Drosophila melanogaster: one gene and its partners. The gene in region 1 interacts genetically with each later gene. Each region holds a gene or a part of one and is shown in the gene's direction. Other genes may lie near its edges.

Region 1 (5,669 bases):
GACCTTTTGATCATTTGGAGCTTTGAATTGAACACTCTATGGATGATTGATACCATTTAATCAATGGATTTCTTGGTTTCTATTATTATTTGTTTCATATTATAATTCGGTGATTTCGGTGTACATCACAAAAGCCCAACAGCTATACTATCCTTGACCCATTTTATCCAGAAATAATAGTACCATGAAATATTTTATTTATTTAAAAATGTAACAAATTTACCTTTCGTTCGTTTTGCATAAATAGGGAAGGTCACAAACATACCAGCGACCATGGTGAACAACCAGTTCGGCATGGTTGGCCTGCTGACGTTCATTCGGGCTGCAGAAACGGATCCCAATCTGGTGACGCTCTCCTTGGGTACGGATCTCACGGGTTTAGGCCTGAACCTGAACTCGCAGGAGAGCTTGCATACAACCTTCGCTGGCCCCTTCGTAGCACAGCCCTGCAGGTCAGTTTACATAATAAACTTACATAATTTAATTGCTTATTGAGTACTATTGAGTAAGAGGTGTACCAAATTAGTAACATTGGATTTGCATTTACTTTTTTCAGAGCACAAGACGTTGAGTTCAACGTGCCACCCGAATATCTGATTAACTTTGCGATAAGAGACAAACTAACAGCGCCGGTACTGAAAAAGCTGCAAGAAGACCTGCTCTTTTTCCTTTTTTACACGAACATCGGCGATATGATGCAATTGATGGCAGCTGCTGAATTGTGAGTACTTCCTCTTGCGTAGCTATTATCTAAGCTTCGTATGAACATATATAGAACATACATATATACTAAAATTCTGCTCCCATCGCAGGCATAGTCGCGAGTGGCGATACCACGTGGAGGAGAAAATATGGATAACTCGAATTCCTGGCATTGATCAATATGAAAAAAATGGTACAAAAGAGCGCGGCACCTTCTACTACTTTGATGCGCAAAGTTGGAAACGTTTGTCCAAGGTTTTCCAAATAGATCCCGAGAAATTAGATAAATGTCCCAATATAAGTGCGTTTATGAATGGACAGTCTGTATAAAATTAATAAAAATGAAAAAAATTGAAAAAGAAAGTATGCTGTTGTTTTTGCATTGCAACAAGGACACTCAACACTAACTGAATAATAAGTTTTATTATAAAAATTAAAAACAATCCATTTGAGTTTTTCTTCTAAAACGGTGTTAGGATATATATACATACATATATGCATATGTATGTATGTGCAAATTCTGGTACAAATTGCCGGTTAACAATTTAAAGCGATTTATTTTTATCCTGCTGGAGTCTAGTTGGTATTCATATTTTTAGAATATCTTTGAAATGTAACATTTTTTAGCTGTTCGATATTATGAAATGAGCGGACTCCCATTAAATTAAAAAGCAAGTTATATTTTTTCGATTCGTTGAAATGTATTTGAAAGGTAGAAGAAATTCTTTCTATAAAGTGATCCTATAAAAAATTACTGGCCGTGTCTGAAAATACATACCTGTCATCTGGACTAACACGACATACATATGTATGTATATTCCAATAGCAAATCTACTGCATTCTGCAATGCACAACAGCTCCCCCTATCAATGATACGACGGAACCATAGTTGGCATGATAATACATACATACAATATCATCTTCAAGCTTGTGTATGCCTGGCAGGTCTATTGTCGGGGCCACAATCTTTTCGACATATCGGCAACTTTTTGGGAAAATATTTATTTTTAAATTTAACAATTACAGTTTATGTACAAGTATAGAATAAAAACCTAATTCCCTTCTAGACTGTATGTAGTGTGAACGCAATGTTTTCGCTACAGAAGCGCTTACTGCACTTAACAGCACGCGTTACTATGTTAATGTCAAAGTGTCAACAGAAGCAAGAGGAAGAAAATTAGAGTTGCCTACGAAAATAGCGCCTGCGCCTCGGAATTTATTTGAATTTGATGCTTGTGGCGTCCCCTTAGCCGAATATGAACACGCCAGGTATAAGCCTCTTTCAGGGGGCGGATGCCCTTAACATAAATTCTACACTGGACCGGCAGGAGGAGGAAGAGGCGCTGCAGGATCAGAAACGACGCGAGGAAGAGGTAAGCGATCTGGGAATTCCTGGTAAACAATGTCACCGATTCCAATTCTACGCAAGCTTGGACGGATTATGGTGAATGCCTTCGACGATCTGCTCGATGAAGAGAACACAATCGACTCGACGACGAATTACCAGTCGGAACTGGAACAGCCGCCAGTTCTACCCAACTACCCATCACATCCGCACCATAAACCGCTGCAGGACGATGCTCAGCGAGCCAACGAGATCGAGATGCATCGCCTCCAGATCCTGCTGGAGTCTAAGAATAATGAGCTGCAGAATGTCAACCAGGTGGCCAACGCTGCGCACAAAAAACTGGATGACTTACAAAAGCACCTATCCATCATGCAGGCTGAGCTAGACCGCGCCATTCGCGAGAAGCAGAACACTCACGAGCTGTTGGTGGAGACCAAAGAGACGTGCTCCAATAAGGACAGCGATCTGGACAAGCTGCGGTCGGAAAAGAAGCAGTTGGAAGAAGATAACACGCGATTAGTTGGTCAATTAGAGGCCGCCAAGACCTTGCTTACGGACGTCCAAAGCAAATACGACATGGTGCAGGCCAGTAAGCAGAAGTGGGAGGAGCGGAACGCCGACCTACGTTTAAAGCAAATGGAGGAAGCGCACCGAGCCCAGTCCGATCTTTTGCAGCAGCAACTCTGTCAGATGAAGGATCAGCTTGATCGCAAGCAAAATGAGTTGGATCAGATAAACTCGCGCTACAATGCTCTGCAGTCTGGTCACGAAACAATGCTCGTAGATAAGGCTGCCAAGATTAACGAGCTCAGTCAAGCTTTGGATGAGGCCCAAATGCGCTGCAACCAACTAAGTGCAAGACCCGATTTGCAGGCTGAAAATCGTCGGCAGCAACAGTGCATCGTTGACTTGAAAGCCCGCATTGCCTATTTGGAGCAAACAGTCGCTTCGCTCCATGAGCGCCTAAACGAAACCACCACGGAACTTGACCTGATAGATTCGGTTATTCAACAGCATCAGGCGGACGAATCGCCTACTAGTCGGCTAAGTCAAATGGGTGGATCGCGCCTTGTTGGTAGCACACCGCTGAATCCTCTAGACAGAGTCGGTCACATTAAGCAGGAGTTGTATCGAGCTCTGGGCAACCTGAAGAACAAGCGGGAAGAAGTGCGACGCCTAGAGAAGCTCCTGGAGGAACGCAACCAGGAACTGCGCGTGCTGCGCGACCAGGAGAACCAATCCCTGGTTCAGCTGGAAACCCTAAACGAAGGCAAAATGCGGTTGGAAAACAAAGTGAAGGCAATGCAGCAGGAGTTGGAAGAGCAAAAACACAGATCACAGCAGGAGTCAGATGTGCACTCACAGCTGAATTCCATTGTGGCCGAGAGGGATGCACTAAGGGAAAAACGGCAGCAGATTGAAGAAGATCTGGAGCAACTAAAGCAGCAGAACGAGAGCCTTCAAAGAAATTACGATCAGCTTTCGCAGGAAAATCGGCAGTTGCGAACTCGAGAAACTGCAGACAACCTGCGCTTGGAGCTGGAACGCCACAAGATTCTGTTGAGGGATTCCCAGAGCGAGGTCGAGCGGCTTAAGAAACTCTATTCTGACATCGCCACAGACAAAGAGTCATTAGGCTATGAATTGAGAAAGCTGAGAGAATCGGACACGCTTAAGGAGTTGCAGGATCAACGCCAAAACTTGGCCACTGTTCAGCGAAACTTGCAGCTGGCGGAGATGAAATCAGAGGAGCTAAAAAAGCTTCTGGAAACGGAGAAACTCAGCCACGAACGTGATCTGCAGGCCTTGCGCCAAAGGAGCGAGCGGGAAAAGCGCGAAGAAGCAGTTGCGGTGGCCAAAGAAAGTTCCGAAAACTGCAGCAAGTGCATTGAAAGCATAGCAGAAATTACCAAGGTAAGCGATAACCTTTCAGACATGCTAGTAAACTAAATAATCTTATATATCACCACGGTTTTTAGGCGGAAATTCAGTTGTTGAAACTCCAGAATGTGAACTCAATGCAGGCCAAGGAACTGAAAGAATTGGAACACGCGCTGGAGCAGTCTAAAAATTTGCAAGCCGAGATGCAGGAAAAGATCGAGCTTTCAAACAAGCAGGACGAGCTCATTAGCGATCTTAAGGAGAGGGCCAAGCAATTCGAGGCGTACATTAGGCAGCAAGAGGAGCATAAGCAGCAGAATAAGTGTACGCCCAGTCCGAAATCAAACTCAGTTTCCCCGTCTGATCCATCGCCCAAAGAGCTCACCCAGAATCGGATAAGGTTGATCGAACAACGTGTTCGTGATGAGATGGCCAAACTTTTTGCAGCAGAACTCAAGAGGTTTACTAACCGGCTGCAAAAATCTGAGGAGAGGAGCCAGTGCCTCCAAAGGGAATACCAAACGGTGTGTGCAGAGCTGCAACAGCGGCAAACGGAGGTGGATCTTCTAAAGCAAACTATCCTGGCAGAACGCGAGAATATCGATGAAATTCTGGCCGGCAGGGAAGAAAAGCAAAAGGAAATGCTGCAGAAGTGCCGCCAGGAGCTGCAAGCGAAGAACCAGCGAATTGCCGAACTGCTCCGAGAAGTGGAGGAGCAGCACGCCAGCATCGACTCCGAAAGGCAATCTATGAAGGCTGTGATGGCTCAGTGGGAGAAACAGCGCCAGTCAGTCGACCAGGTGGAACACCACTGGCGCCAGCAGCTGGAAAGCTTGCGTTCCACCCACGAAGAGGCGATGCGATCCGCACAGCAGCGATATCAAAGTGCCAAGCGTACCGCCCACAATTACAAGTTGTATGCCGAGGACAAGGAGGCGCACATGAAACGCGAGTATGAGCGCATTAAGCACGAGTACGAGCTATCACTCGCCAAGATCGAGGCGACCATGAACCAGCACCTGGAGCGGCGGAGTCGGGAGAAGCACCGCGACAAAGAGAACGTGCCCAGCAATAGCAGCAGCGACCCAATCACCAACTCAAATAGAAAGCCCAAAGGCAATGGTCACAGCTAAGACTTAGGAAAATATATATATGTATATGTAGGTCTCTTTAGTGGGATATCGTTACTGCATGCACTGCCAAATTGTCTAAACAAATAAAAGTCGCTGTACATTCCTAACAAAATTGTGCTTATAAAAATCAGCTAAAAAAGTGAAAGTTTATCATTAATATTAAAAAATAGGTTTTTTATTTGATTGTTGTTTCTAGTAGGCTCATAATTTTTTCATTTTTAGTTTGAAAAATCTGGTTCCAGCACTTGTTGAAAATGTCGAAGAATTTGTCAATCTCCTCTCGGGTTATTCCAATTCCTGCCGCTACAGTCAGGTACGGAACTTGCAGGTTGCTGCGGTGGGAGCCGAAATCTAAGCGAAATATTCTAAATTTTAGTCGGAAAACAAAGACGATAGTGAATATTACTTGCCTAGAAACTCATGCCCGTCTATAGTTTTATTTTGGCCAGGAACTATCACTCTTGCTCCGGAAACTCCACGCATGTGTAGCATGGAGCCAAGCTTGGTGATGCTCTTCATCTGATCCCCAGCCAAAGTGGCCAATGTTATGGCCAAGGATATGGAGTTAAACCTGCTGTCTATAACAATCTCTCCGCGTGGCTCTG
Region 2 (7,772 bases), about 19 Mb from region 1:
ACGCGGTGTTCCTAAACTTTTCCCACTTTGATTTGGAGGGCACACGGTTTCACTACACCAAGTGCAACTATGATTACCTGATTATATACTCCAAAATGAGGGATAATCGCCTGAAGAAGATTGGCATTTATTGTGGTCATGAACTACCTCCAGTGGTGAATTCCGAGCAGAGTATCCTCAGGCTGGAGTTCTACTCGGATCGCACTGTCCAGAGAAGTGGATTTGTGGCCAAGTTTGTAATAGGTAACTTACAGAAAAAAATTAATTTACGTACGATCTATAATATCATTATTCCACAGATGTGGATGAGTGTTCAATGAACAATGGTGGCTGTCAGCACCGATGCCGAAACACCTTTGGATCCTATCAGTGCAGCTGCCGCAATGGATACACATTGGCTGAAAATGGACACAACTGCACGGAGACGCGTTGCAAGTTCGAGATCACCACGTCGTATGGAGTGTTGCAGAGTCCCAACTATCCGGAGGATTATCCAAGAAACATTTACTGCTACTGGCATTTTCAGACCGTACTGGGCCACCGGATACAGTTGACATTCCACGACTTTGAGGTGGAGAGCCACCAGGAGTGCATCTACGACTATGTGGCTATCTATGATGGTCGCTCCGAAAATAGCTCAACATTGGGCATCTATTGCGGTGGACGTGAACCGTATGCCGTTATTGCCTCCACCAATGAGATGTTTATGGTACTGGCCACGGATGCGGGTCTTCAGAGAAAGGGTTTCAAGGCCACCTTTGTCTCCGAATGTGGTGGCTACTTGAGGGCCACAAATCATTCACAGACCTTCTACTCGCATCCACGATACGGCAGTAGGCCGTACAAGCGGAACATGTACTGCGATTGGCGCATTCAGGCAGACCCGGAAAGCAGTGTCAAGATCCGTTTCCTACACTTCGAGATCGAGTACTCGGAGCGATGCGACTACGATTATCTGGAGATCACCGAGGAGGGCTACTCAATGAACACTATCCACGGCAGATTTTGCGGAAAGCACAAGCCGCCAATCATAATCTCCAACTCGGACACCCTTCTGTTGCGATTCCAAACGGACGAGAGTAACTCATTGAGAGGCTTCGCCATCTCCTTCATGGCCGTGGATCCACCGGAAGATTCTGTTGGCGAGGATTTCGACGCGGTTACACCCTTTCCGGGCTATCTCAAGAGCATGTATTCCTCAGAAACGGGCAGCGACCACCTCCTGCCACCCAGCAGACTCATTTAGATAAAATGAGAGGTCCAGCGAAGGGATTTAGAGTTTAATGTTTGTTGTTGAAATTTGTAAATAGATTGTGAATAAAAGATATTTCGAGTCATTTTGTTTACCCTATATTTTATTTTTAAAGGCACATAATATTTATATCTGTGATAATACACATTTGAATTTGGCGCTATAAAACTGTGCAACGTTCACACTGAGGATATCGATTGGTGGTGTTAACACATCTGGGTTACTCACAATTTATGTAAAATTACACAAAATAATATTCCTTAGAATGATCTTATCATATTAAATAATTTATGTTTAAAAATTGCGGACAAATGTAATCCTTATATTTTTAAGTCTATCGAAAACCATTCTGAAGACCCCTAACATTTCACAATCGATAGGTCGAATTGTTCGATAGCCCTTTGCTCCAGCAATCAAGCAATCGAGTATCGGCGTCGCTTCGTTTCGAATTTCAGTTCGAATTTGGATTTGTGCGGCGACGCTCTAATTTGTTTAATTTTTGTTCGTTAATTGTGTTAATTGATTAGTTAGTCGCTGTGTTAATGGACCACTAAGTTAGCTGCGAGCCCGTTTCTGTTTAGTTCAAGTTATTTCTGTTTTGGCCATTCCCTGCAATGAGCGCCTTTGAGGTTAGTTGAGTCCTCTTTTTGGAACTCCGGCAATAATTTTCCGAGAAATAACTAGATTACCGGTACTTACAGATCACAGTGACGCCATCGCGCCTAAAGCAAAAGAAGCGCGCCGAAGGACGCGAGCCCGCCGTCGTCGTCATGGCTCCGTTCTCCGCCAAGGCGATTGTGCAGTTCGAGGATGTGCCGATAACAAAGACAGCACGGCGCCAGGTGCGCGTTCTCAATCCCAGCGACGACGACATCGAGGTTAGTGGGTTGCATACGGCCTGGCAACTGTTATTTGATCAATGTTTTACAGGTCAAGGTAATGAAGGCCATCCGGGAGGAGCACAACTTAAGCCTGGAGTGGATGGAGCACACGGTGCCTGCAAGAGATGAGGTATCCATGGAGCTAGTGTGGAGCCCCGTCCTTGAGGTGGCCTGCAAGGAGACGCTGCAGCTAATAGACAACCGCAACTTCCGAAAGGAGGTGATGATCATACTCAAGTCCAAGAGCAACCAGCCGGTCAAGGTCAGTCAAAAAATGCATTTGCCACCCCTTTTACTTACATACCCTCTTTTGCATGTATCTCTTACCTTTCTACCTGAAGAACCCGCGCAAATTTCCTACTGTCGGCAAGACCCTGCAGCTGAAATCGCCGACAGGAGCTGGCAAGACAATGAAAAGCGTGGTATCCGCTGCTGTGCAGCAAAAGAAGCGCATGTCTGCAGCAGCAGCGCCTCCCTCCAAGCAGACATGGCGAGTGACTGCTCCTTCGCGTCCCGCTGCATGGGCACATCCACCTCCACAGGCTCCTCTTGTCGAGAAGAATGTATACAAGACTCCACAAGAAGAGCCCGTATACATATCACCACAGCCTCGCAGTCTTAAGGAAAATCTAAGCCCTATGACGCCAGGAAACCTACTCGACGTGATTGACAATCTGCGATTCACACCTCTCACCGAAACCCGTGGCAAAGGACAAGCTACCATTTTCCCGGACAATCTGGCAGCCTGGCCCACACCAACACTTAAAGGGAATGTAAAATCATGTGCTAATGATATGCGGCCGCGTCGAATCACTCCAGATGATCTAGAAGATCAGCCTGCCACAAACAAAACGTTCGATGTAAAGCATTCCGAGACTATCAATATTTCGTTGGACACCTTGGACTGCTCCAGGATCGATGGACAACCGCATACGCCCCTAAATAAGACAACAACCATTGTGCATGCCACGCACACCAGAGCTCTGGCCTGTATTCATGAGGAGGAGGGACCAAGTCCACCTAGGACGCCCACGAAGAGCGCCATACACGACCTGAAGAGGGACATTAAGTTGGTGGGTTCACCCTTACGAAAGTATTCCGAGTCCATGAAAGATTTGTCACTTCTATCGCCACAAACTAAGTATGCCATTCAAGGGTCTATGCCTAATCTAAATGAAATGAAAATCCGCTCGATCGAACAGAATAGATATTACCAGGAGCAGCAGATCCAGATAAAGGCCAAAGACTTGAATAGCTCCTCTAGTAGCGAGGCTAGTTTGGCCGGCCAGCAGGAGTTTCTATTCAACCACAGTGAGATCCTCGCTCAGTCCAGTCGTTTTAATCTCCATGAAGTAGGTCGGAAGTCGGTGAAGGGAAGTCCGGTGAAGAATCCTCACAAGCGCCGCTCTCATGAGTTGAGTTTTTCGGATGCACCTAGCAACGAATCATTGTACCGCAATGAAACTGTAGCCATTTCCCCTCCTAAAAAGCAACGGGTTGAGGACACTACTCTGCCCAGAAGTGCAGCGCCGGCAAATGCATCTGCAAGAAGCAGTAGTGCCCACGCCTGGCCACACGCCCAATCCAAGAAGTTTAAGCTAGCACAAACCATGTCACTGATGAAGAAGCCCGCCACACCACGAAAAGTCAGGGACACTAGCATTCAGCCTTCCGTCAAGCTCTATGACTCGGAGCTGTATATGCAGACGTGCATCAACCCGGATCCATTTGCAGCAACTACGACAATTGATCCATTTCTGGCATCTACCATGTATTTGGATGAACAGGCTGTGGATCGTCATCAAGCTGACTTTAAAAAGTGGTTAAATGCCCTTGTCTCCATACCCGCTGACCTGGACGCAGATTTAAATAACAAAATAGACGTTGGTAAGCTGTTTAACGAGGTGCGCAACAAAGAGCTCGTGGTGGCTCCCACCAAGGAGGAGCAGTCTATGAACTACCTAACGAAATACCGCCTGGAGACGCTTCGTAAGGCGGCTGTGGAGCTCTTCTTCAGTGAGCAGATGCGCCTGCCATGCTCCAAAGTGGCCGTATATGTCAACAAGCAAGCTCTGCGCATCCGTAGCGATCGTAATCTTCACCTAGACGTAGTTATGCAACGCACCATACTTGAGCTGCTGCTTTGCTTCAATCCCCTTTGGCTGCGCCTTGGACTGGAAGTGGTCTTTGGCGAGAAGATCCAGATGCAGTCTAATCGAGACATTGTAGGCCTCAGCACCTTTATCCTCAATCGCTTGTTCCGGAATAAGTGTGAGGAGCAGAGGTACAGCAAGGCATACACACTCACCGAAGAGTACGCGGAGACCATTAAGAAGCACTCATTGCAGAAAATCCTCTTTTTGCTGCTTTTCCTCGATCAAGCTAAGCAGAAGCGCATCGTCAAGCACAATCCCTGTTTGTTTGTTAAAAAGTCGCCACATAAAGAGACCAAGGATATTCTGCTGCGCTTCTCGTCGGAGCTGCTCGCCAACATTGGTGATATTACGCGGGAACTTCGTCGCCTGGGCTACGTTCTACAGCACCGCCAAACATTTTTGGACGAGTTCGATTATGCCTTCAACAACTTGGCTGTGGACCTAAGAGATGGCGTGAGACTAACCCGAGTCATGGAGGTAATTTTACTACGCGATGATCTAACCCGCCAGTTAAGGGTGCCAGCCATCTCTCGCCTTCAGCGGATCTTCAATGTAAAGCTAGCTCTGGGCGCACTTGGTGAAGCCAACTTCCAGCTAGGCGGCGACATCGCCGCCCAAGACATCGTTGACGGACATCGTGAGAAGACGCTTTCCCTGCTCTGGCAACTTATTTACAAATTCCGCTCGCCCAAGTTTCATGCGGCGGCCACGGTGCTCCAGAAATGGTGGCGCCGTCACTGGCTGCACGTTGTTATCCAGCGTCGCATTCGCCACAAAGAGCTTATGCGTCGCCACCGGGCCGCTACTGTCATTCAGGCCGTGTTCCGTGGCCACCAGATGAGAAAGTACGTGAAGTTGTTTAAGACGGAACGCACTCAGGCCGCAATAATTCTGCAAAAGTTCACCCGTCGGTATTTGGCCCAGAAGCAGCTATATCAGAGCTATCACAGTATTATCACCATCCAGCGCTGGTGGCGAGCCCAACAACTGGGAAGGCAGCACCGCCAGCGGTTTGTGGAGCTCCGAGAGGCTGCGATCTTTCTTCAGCGGATCTGGCGGCGACGACTCTTTGCCAAAAAACTATTGGCGGCGGCGGAAACAGCCAGACTTCAGCGATCGCAAAAACAACAGGCAGCTGCTAGTTATATTCAAATGCAATGGCGAAGCTATCAGCTGGGCAGAATTCAGCGACAGCAGTTCCTGCGCCAGAGGGACCTCATCATGTTTGTTCAGCGCAGGATGCGAAGCAAGTGGAGTATGCTGGAGCAGCGCAAGGAGTTCCAGCAACTAAAGCGTGCAGCTATAAATATCCAACAACGCTGGCGAGCGAAGCTTTCAATGAGAAAGTGCAACGCTGATTATTTGGCACTTCGTTCCAGCGTTCTTAAAGTTCAGGCTTACAGGAAAGCCACAATCCAGATGAGAATAGATCGTAATCACTACTATTCCCTGCGAAAAAATGTTATCTGCCTGCAACAGCGACTGAGGGCCATCATGAAAATGCGCGAACAGAGGGAAAATTATCTGAGGCTGCGAAATGCTTCAATACTAGTTCAAAAACGCTACCGCATGCGTCAACAAATGATCCAGGATAGAAATGCATATTTAAGAACCCGCAAATGTATCATCAATGTCCAGAGGCGCTGGAGAGCCACTCTGCAGATGCGTCGAGAAAGGAAGAACTACCTTCATCTCCAAACGACAACCAAACGAATTCAAATCAAGTTCCGTGCCAAGCGCGAAATGAAAAAGCAAAGAGCCGAGTTTCTTCAGCTGAAAAAGGTTACCCTTGTAGTCCAGAAACGTCGGCGGGCTTTGCTGCAGATGCGAAAGGAGCGCCAGGAGTACCTACATCTGCGCGAGGTTACCATAAAGCTGCAGCGCAGATTCCATGCTCAAAAATCAATGCGGTTCATGCGAGCCAAGTACCGCGGCACCCAGGCTGCTGTGAGCTGCCTGCAGATGCATTGGCGTAATCATCTCCTTAGGAAACGGGAGAGGAACAGTTTCTTACAACTGCGTCAAGCAGCAATAACACTGCAGCGACGGTACCGAGCTCGTCTGAATATGATCAAGCAGTTGAAGAGTTACGCCCAGCTGAAACAGGCAGCTATTACCATTCAAACCCGATATAGAGCCAAGAAGGCAATGCAAAAGCAGGTGGTCTTGTACCAAAAGCAAAGGGAAGCCATTATCAAAGTGCAACGACGATACCGCGGCAATCTGGAGATGAGGAAGCAGATTGAAGTCTACCAAAAACAGCGCCAGGCAGTCATCCGCTTGCAGAAATGGTGGCGCAGTATACGCGACATGCGGCTGTGCAAAGCGGGCTACCGAAGGATTCGACTCAGTTCATTGAGCATTCAACGCAAGTGGCGGGCCACAGTGCAGGCTCGTCGCCAACGGGAGATCTTCTTAAGCACCATCCGCAAAGTGCGACTTATGCAGGCATTTATCAGAGCAACTTTACTGATGCGTCAGCAGCGCAGGGAATTCGAGATGAAGCGAAGGGCTGCCGTAGTGATCCAGCGCCGGTTTCGTGCTCGCTGTGCTATGCTAAAGGCGAGACAGGATTACCAATTAATCCAATCCTCTGTGATCCTGGTGCAGCGCAAATTCCGTGCTAATCGCAGCATGAAGCAGGCACGCCAGGAATTTGTCCAGCTGCGTACTATTGCAGTCCATTTGCAACAAAAGTTCCGTGGCAAGCGTCTAATGATTGAGCAGCGTAATTGTTTCCAACTGCTCCGCTGTTCCATGCCGGGCTTCCAGGCACGTGCCCGCGGCTTTATGGCTCGCAAACGATTCCAGGCCCTGATGACACCCGAGATGATGGACCTCATCCGCCAGAAGCGCGCCGCCAAGGTTATACAGCGTTACTGGCGGGGCTATCTAATCCGACGACGTCAGAAGCACCAGGGTCTCTTGGATATCCGGAAGCGTATTGCTCAGCTGCGGCAAGAGGCAAAGGCGGTAAACTCTGTGCGCTGCAAAGTCCAGGAGGCGGTGCGTTTCCTTCGCGGACGCTTTATCGCATCAGATGCGTTAGCAGTGCTAAGTCGATTGGGTAAGTGATCCAGCTACGTTAGTCCTTATTATAACTAATCCTGCTTAATAATCCCGGCAGATCGTCTTTCGCGCACTGTGCCACACCTGCTCATGTGGTGTTCGGAGTTCATGTCCACGTTTTGCTATGGCATCATGGCTCAGGCCATTCGATCAGAGGTGGATAAGCAGCTTATAGAGCGCTGCAGCCGGATCATCCTAAATTTGGCCCGCTACAATAGCACCACGGTGAACACGTTCCAGGAGGGCGGTTTGGTCACCATTGCCCAGATGTTATTGCGCTGGTGCGACAAAGACAGTGAGATATTCAACACTTTGTGCACCCTCATTTGGGTATTCGCCCACTGTCCTAAAAAGCGAAAGGTAGCTAAATAGCGAGAGGATTAGGTTTTAGCGAGTTTTTAATCATATTCTTAA
Region 3 (6,298 bases), on another chromosome or scaffold:
TTACTCGATATCTTCTTTAACAGATCCTACATTATGCCAGACGATCTGGAGAGCCTGCGTCAGGTGTGGCCCAAAAATGCCTCGAAGCTGACCAAGTGGATTGTTAAGCCGCCGGCGAGTGCCCGAGGCACGGGCATACGCATTGTGAACAAGTGGAGCCAATTTCCCAAAGATCGTCCTCTGGTGGTTCAGAAGTGGGTGCCCATAACTTCGTCTTCTTTAAAAATCTTCCCTAACCCTAAACCCCACTTCAGATACATTGAACGTCCGCTGTTGATCAACGACAATAAGTTCGATATGCGTCTGTATGTGGTACTGACCTCGATCAACCCACTCCGCATCTATATGTACAAGGATGGACTGGCGCGTTTCGCGTCCGTTAAGTACAGCTCGGAGCTGAGCAATCTGGACGAGCGCTGCATGCACCTGACCAACTACAGCATCAACAAGTTCTCGCAGAACTATGCGAAGAACGAGGATTTCAATGCCTGCCAGGGCCACAAGTGGACGCTTCAATCGCTGTGGTCCTGCCTGGAGAATCGTGGCGTGAACACTAAGCGCCTGTGGGCCACGCTACGGAATCTGGTCATCAAGGGCATCGTGAGCGGGGAATCGGGATTGAATCGCATGTACCGCCAGAATGTGAACTTTCGCTACAATTGCTTCGAGTTGTTTGGCTTCGATGTGCTCCTGGATGAGAATCTAGTGCCCTGGCTGTTGGAGATAAATATATCGCCGTCGTTGCATTCGGAATTGCCACTGGATCTGCACGTGAAGGGTCCGCTCATTCAGGCCGTGCTGAATACGGCTCTATATCAGGTGCCGCCTAAGCTGAACGAACGTCAGCAGGCGGACATCCTGGAGGAGCTTAATCTGACCGGTCCGTTGTGCCATGACAAACGCATCTTCACCACCTGCCTGACTGCAGAGGAGGTCCGCAAACATAACCAGTACACCAATCGGAGCATCGAATTCCGGGAGGAGTACGTTGATACCATACTGGACAATCTACTGCCGGACGATGTCCGTTGCCTGATCGTTGCCGAGGACGAGCTGGCCAGGTGTCAGCCGCTGGAACGGATCTTCCCCACCGCCGGCACACATGTATATCTGCGCTATGTCGAGAATGCCCGGTACTATAATCGCCTGCTGGACGCCTGGGAGACGAAGTACGCCAAGAATAGGGAAATGGGCATTGCCTTGCTGTCGCGCTATTGCCGGGACAAATACCATTTACAGGTGTCGGACGCCGCCATGGAAAAGGTGAACGATCAATTCAATTCAATTGAATTTCCCCTTCCGTACCGCTTCTGTAGTCCATTTTCAAGTCATATTTCTTATCTAGGAACCAAATGTTGCACTTACCGAGATCGATATGCTGCACGTGCGAAAGGATGAGGTCTTGGACGGTGCCACCACGCTGGCCATACTTAAGCCCGTTGTCCAGGAGGGCTGCGAGGTGGCGCCGATTCCGGATGCCTGCATCGAGATCAAGTCCTGAAATTGAACCGAACTATCAGCACTATCACCATTGCTTCTTCCATTGCCATTGCCATTTCCATTCCCGTTTCCGTTACCAGCTCACAGCTGTGCCAGCATCCCGTGCAGATGTGCTCCGGAATTGTATCCGCTCAGTAAATTCACTTAACTTCGATCGTCTTTGGTGGCAATAGCCTGTTTTGGCATCCAGCTAGAAATTGGATCACACGTCATTTCAGTAAATATAAAACACTACGGGGTGTTTAAAAAAATTATGAAAATAAATATTTTATTTAAATTTAGTTCTTATTATTTATTCTTTATGCGAACACTGTAAACTGTAAAGAGTATCGGTTTTCTTATTGGGTAATTGCTCAGCACAGTACTAAGCTTTTTGAACTACGCGGGCTTTGGCAGTTGCGATAAGTCTAAGGAAGTGCAATCGATAACTAGCGGCGCAGTCTTGAGTTTTCAAGCTGCCGATAACGACATCACGCCTCCAATTATCGATAGACGTAGTATAATAACAATAAACAAAAATTCACTGTATTGCACGGCGCTAAAATAAAAATTAAGTTTGCAAATCATGGCGTGGACTGAATTATAAACCCGGCTTGAAACCAAAGGACTGCAAGTGGAACAGCTGAGCTGCACACTTGGGAAATTGCCAATCTGAAACTGCGTGGAAAAAAGAGTGGCCCATTGATTTTTCGCTAAGTATCTGCTGATTAAAAAAAAATTGACCGCAGCGTTGGAATTTCGGCCTGCCAATCAGAAAAATGAGTGGTAAGAAGCCAGTTCTATGCAAGAATGGGCACTATATATTAGTAACTAATAATATGATTTGCGGGGATTGGGATTTGCGTGCTGACTGTATGGGAATTTGCAGTCTGCTTTTGGGGAGTTGGGGTTAATGTTCAGCGGGCCGGGGGCTTCGAGGTCCTGGCTAAAAAGGACGCACCTGCGCCCTGACCTCCTCTCCAACTTCTTGAAAAGTGCGGACCCCTCGATGAAGTCATCAATTTTGTAACATGCACACGTATACAGTGAAGCTTGCATTATGTATTTCCTTTTTGGGCTTTTTGTTTTACATAATTCTGATATTGTGTTTAATGCATAATAAGTATGAAGTGGTAAACCTTAGTTTCTACCCACTGTGCTTTGTTAACCCAAACAGGCGACGAAAGTGGCGAGGAGAAGCACGTCCTGAACTTGTCCAAGCAAAAGCTGAAGAAGGTGCCCAAGCAGGACGATGCGCACAGCATACGGCAGCTCATCCTGGACGAGAACGAGCTGCAGAAGATCGACAACATAGACTCGTATCTCAAAATTGAAACGGTGACTTGCAACGTTCTGCGAAAAGAAACAAGTTCCTAATTAACAGAAATTCAAATATTTCAGCTCTCCTTGGCCAGAAATCAATTGCTGCGCATGTATGGCGTCTGCCGGCTGCATTGCCTGCGTGAACTGAATCTGTCCTTCAATGGCATACTCTCTATCGAGGGCCTGAAGGAATGCATCCATCTGCGCGTTCTGAATCTGGAGGGGAATAACATCAAGACCATCGAGCATCTGAACACGAATGTCAATCTGGAGTGCCTGAATCTGGCGGATAATAGCATTGGCAGCATTTCGGATATGTCCTATTTGCGCAATCTCAAGGAGCTATATTTGCACGGAAATCGCTTGACGCATCTGAGGCAGTGCGACAAGTGTTTGCCCACCTCACTGGAAACCCTAACGTTGGCCAAGAATAGCATCAACGATCTCAACGAGATCTGTACGCTGTCGCATCTGAGCAACTTGCTGAGCATTTCCATTGCGGATAATCCCTGTGTGACCATGATCAACAGTTTGGAGTGAGTTAGCTTAATGGATCATATGGATTGCGCTTAAAATGTAACATCTCTTGCAGTGGCTTTGATTACCGACCTTTTGTTTTAAACTGGTGCATGAGCCTCAAGTACATCGATGGCTTTGTGGTCGATCCTATTGAGAGTCTTAAGGCCGAATGGCTGTATAGCCAGGGACGTGGTCGCCAGTTCCGTGTGGGCGAGCAGCAGGGCTTGGCAAAATACCTAAGTTCTGTGTGCCCGCTGGTGGGCAAGGCGCTGGAAAATGAAAACGATAGGAAACTCCGGCTGATCCTCAGCAAGGCGCAACACCATCAGCGGCAGCTGCAGGAAGAGATCATGGATAACGCAAATAGTTCTGCCAGCACTTCGCCCTCATCCCATCGCAAGAAGCCCACGAGTCGCATTCAGTCGCCCAGATGTAAGTTATTAACTCCCTATCTATGCTTTTTCATATAACTTATATTTTTCTGTCTTCGATTTAAAGTCTCCCGCTTGAGTGGCCGCCAGGGATCACCGGAGTCCATGGTGAATAGCTATCACGGGAACAGCAGCAACAATAGCATTGTTAGCGACAATGGATCTACGAATCATTCGCTGCAAATGAGCATTTCGCTCATTGAGAACATTAAAAACGATGGCGAAGGCTTTAGTTTGGCCGGCAGCGGAATGTCCAGCAGCGTGACCACCAAGACATACAATTCCACGGAGTCCACGCCACGGAATATAACACCCAATCCCTACAATGGTATGACAATTAAAATATATTCAATGCAAGAGTGGAAAATGATGTTAATAGTAAACAACAATTCCACAGATCAAACGTTCATCAGTCAAACCCCATCTGGTGGTCCATTGGCGGCTGCCTCGAAAATGGTCCCAGTTCCGGAGACTCTGATGAGCCCGGATGTCTGTCCCGCCGCTGTGGCCCAAAGAGTTACGGTTACGGCACTGAACCCTCAGCTGCACAAGACCAAGATCAACAAAAATAAAGGTAGCCAGTAGTTGTTACTCTAGACTTTTAAAACGACACAGATTTCTAAAACATACATACACATTTACACTACAGACAACAAACTGAACTTGCCAAGAGTGCGAAGTCCACAACTGAAGAGGAACCAAAGCCCTACGAGCAGTCCACGGAGGATGGCCAATAAGTGCAGCGCGGACAACATGCAGGCACCGGAGAAACTCCAGCAATCGGCTGTTTTGGCCGATAGCGGTGGCTTCAGCACCGACGACGACGGCGAGCAAATCAACATAGAGAAACTGAGAGCAATCCGGAAGATGGCCGCTCAGAAGCAACAGCAGATGCATCAGGAGCAGCTGAAGCAGCAGGTGGACAACAACCTGAACTGCCAGGATCGGCTGATCGAGCACGTGACAGAGTCCTCGGCCGTTACCATCCAAAAGATGTGGCGAGGCTATCACACACGCAAGAAGACCAACAAGGACATAGCCGAGCGATTGCAGCGACGACGCACACAGGAGTATATCGAGTAGGTGGTCTCGTTTTAGGCAACATATATCGCAACTTTCTAATGCTCTATCTGTCGCATTCCTCAGACAACTCGGCAAGGATATGCTACTTACGAAGGCCCAGCTCGAGAACGAGCGAAAGATTCAGCAGCTGCAGATGCAGGCCATCAATGCGCTGTGGAAAAAGGTGTCCACCATGGAGGTGGATCCCAAGGGAATACCTGCTGCTGCGGAACAGGGCGAGGACTCCAATGGCGGAGGGTCTGGCCACCTGAGTCTCGATCAAAATTCAGCCGCCGTGGTAAATGATTTGGCGAAAAGATGCACCATGCTCACCGATCAGGTTCAAATGCTGCAAAGCTCGATTGGAACCATCGTCAACTGCCTCACAATGGTGTGCAATCTGCCGCAGGACGCTATTAAGAAGCAGGCCGAGATCATTGATTGCAGCTCCACTCAGACGGACCTCATTGCCGTACACACGCCGCAAATAGAGGACCTCACCAATTTTCCATTCACCAAAACAAGGCCCTCAACCTTGGCCCTAGAATCCAAGCACGAAGCTGCTCTGGCTTGTCCCAAAATCGATGAATTGAATGATGTCGACCTGAAGGAGACCCAAGAAGACTCGGAAAATCTTGATAAAGATCCATGAACAAATCCCAGTTAATAAATGAGGAGTATAAACGCTTTAAGGGTCGATCTCAGCGCTTATTAATTCCTTTCTTAGGCTTTTGTGTAGCTTTTGCAACAATATTAGATCGGTTACGAGAACTTAGAAGTAGCACCAGCATTCACAAACACATTACTTTGTTACATTCCTGAGATGCAGCGATGGTGGAAGACTTAACAATAGTATGAACAAATCGTAAATACAAATTTTTGTAAAGCACAAAAGGTGTTCTTGATTGCGGGCAGATTTTGTTCAAAAACAACACCAGCATTAACCAACAGTTTTTTTTTAATTAAGTTTGACAAATTTGTAAATAACCTAACTATGTGTGTGTTTGTACATCGTTCAGTCCTCTTCGCTGGATGTTTCCTCATCTTCCTCTTCGTCGGAGGAATCGCGATTTACAGGCCGATTTGTATTGGGCAGGAGATCATCCTCGAAATCGGAGTCGTCTTTGTTTTGGCTGGTGGCTTCCTCCTGTACAGGTTTCTTTGTGAATTTATCCGGCCAAATTGCAGCTTTTGTGTATTCCTTTATATGTTCGGGTGTGAGTATTTTGCAAATCTCGGCTTTGACTTTATCGCCCTCCTCAATCGGTTCGACCAGCAGAAAGTCGCCACGTTTCACCCACATGCTCTTGCGGAATTTGTTGGGCATCGAAACTAAAAGGGTCAGAAGGATACAAATTCATTATTAAGTATCAACATGAAATGAGTTGGGATGGGCTATCTCAACATGTCTTTATCGAGACGTTCAGACGGACGGACGAAGATATACGGACGAACGGAAGGACATGGCCAGATCGATTGGGATA

Evidence for each region.
Region 2: of asl (region 1) and asp, changing one enhances a phenotype caused by changing the other (phenotypic enhancement), as found in Drosophila melanogaster (one study listed by BioGRID).
Region 3: of asl (region 1) and Cep97, changing one suppresses a phenotype caused by changing the other (phenotypic suppression), as found in Drosophila melanogaster (one study listed by BioGRID).

The regions. Positions count from the first base shown.
Region 1 is NT_033777.3:5,602,736-5,608,404, reverse strand, and holds asl (asterless), read left to right. Parts: upstream 1-1,861; 5' UTR 1,862-1,958; coding exon 1,959-2,075; intron 2,076-2,131; coding exon 2,132-3,964; intron 3,965-4,029; coding exon 4,030-5,064; 3' UTR 5,065-5,169; downstream 5,170-5,669. Other genes in the region: Rga (regena), read left to right, coding at 248-452, 557-721, 813-1,032; SecS (Sec synthetase), read right to left, coding at 5,240-5,415, 5,475-5,669.
Region 2 is NT_033777.3:24,752,175-24,759,946, forward strand, and holds the start of asp (abnormal spindle), read left to right. Parts: upstream 1-1,674; 5' UTR 1,675-1,866; coding exon 1,867-1,881; intron 1,882-1,953; coding exon 1,954-2,130; intron 2,131-2,182; coding exon 2,183-2,395; intron 2,396-2,474; coding exon 2,475-7,356; intron 7,357-7,416; coding exon 7,417-7,718; intron 7,719-7,772. Other genes in the region: tld (tolloid), read left to right, coding at 1-243, 300-1,246. UniProt on the Drosophila melanogaster protein: Required to maintain the structure of the centrosomal microtubule organizing center (MTOC) during mitosis. May have a preferential role in regulating neurogenesis. Required for germ cell mitosis and oocyte differentiation.
Region 3 is NT_033779.5:3,865,724-3,872,021, forward strand, and holds Cep97 (centrosomal protein 97kDa), read left to right. Parts: upstream 1-1,973; 5' UTR 1,974-2,258; coding exon 2,259-2,265; intron 2,266-2,656; coding exon 2,657-2,817; intron 2,818-2,880; coding exon 2,881-3,338; intron 3,339-3,394; coding exon 3,395-3,753; intron 3,754-3,819; coding exon 3,820-4,080; intron 4,081-4,149; coding exon 4,150-4,326; intron 4,327-4,366; exon of another isoform or gene 4,367-4,401; coding exon 4,402-4,831; intron 4,832-4,898; coding exon 4,899-5,466; 3' UTR 5,467-5,702; downstream 5,703-6,298. Other genes in the region: TTLL4B (tubulin tyrosine ligase-like 4B), read left to right, coding at 24-194, 255-1,263, 1,346-1,501; CG31957 (uncharacterized protein), read right to left, coding at 5,830-6,146.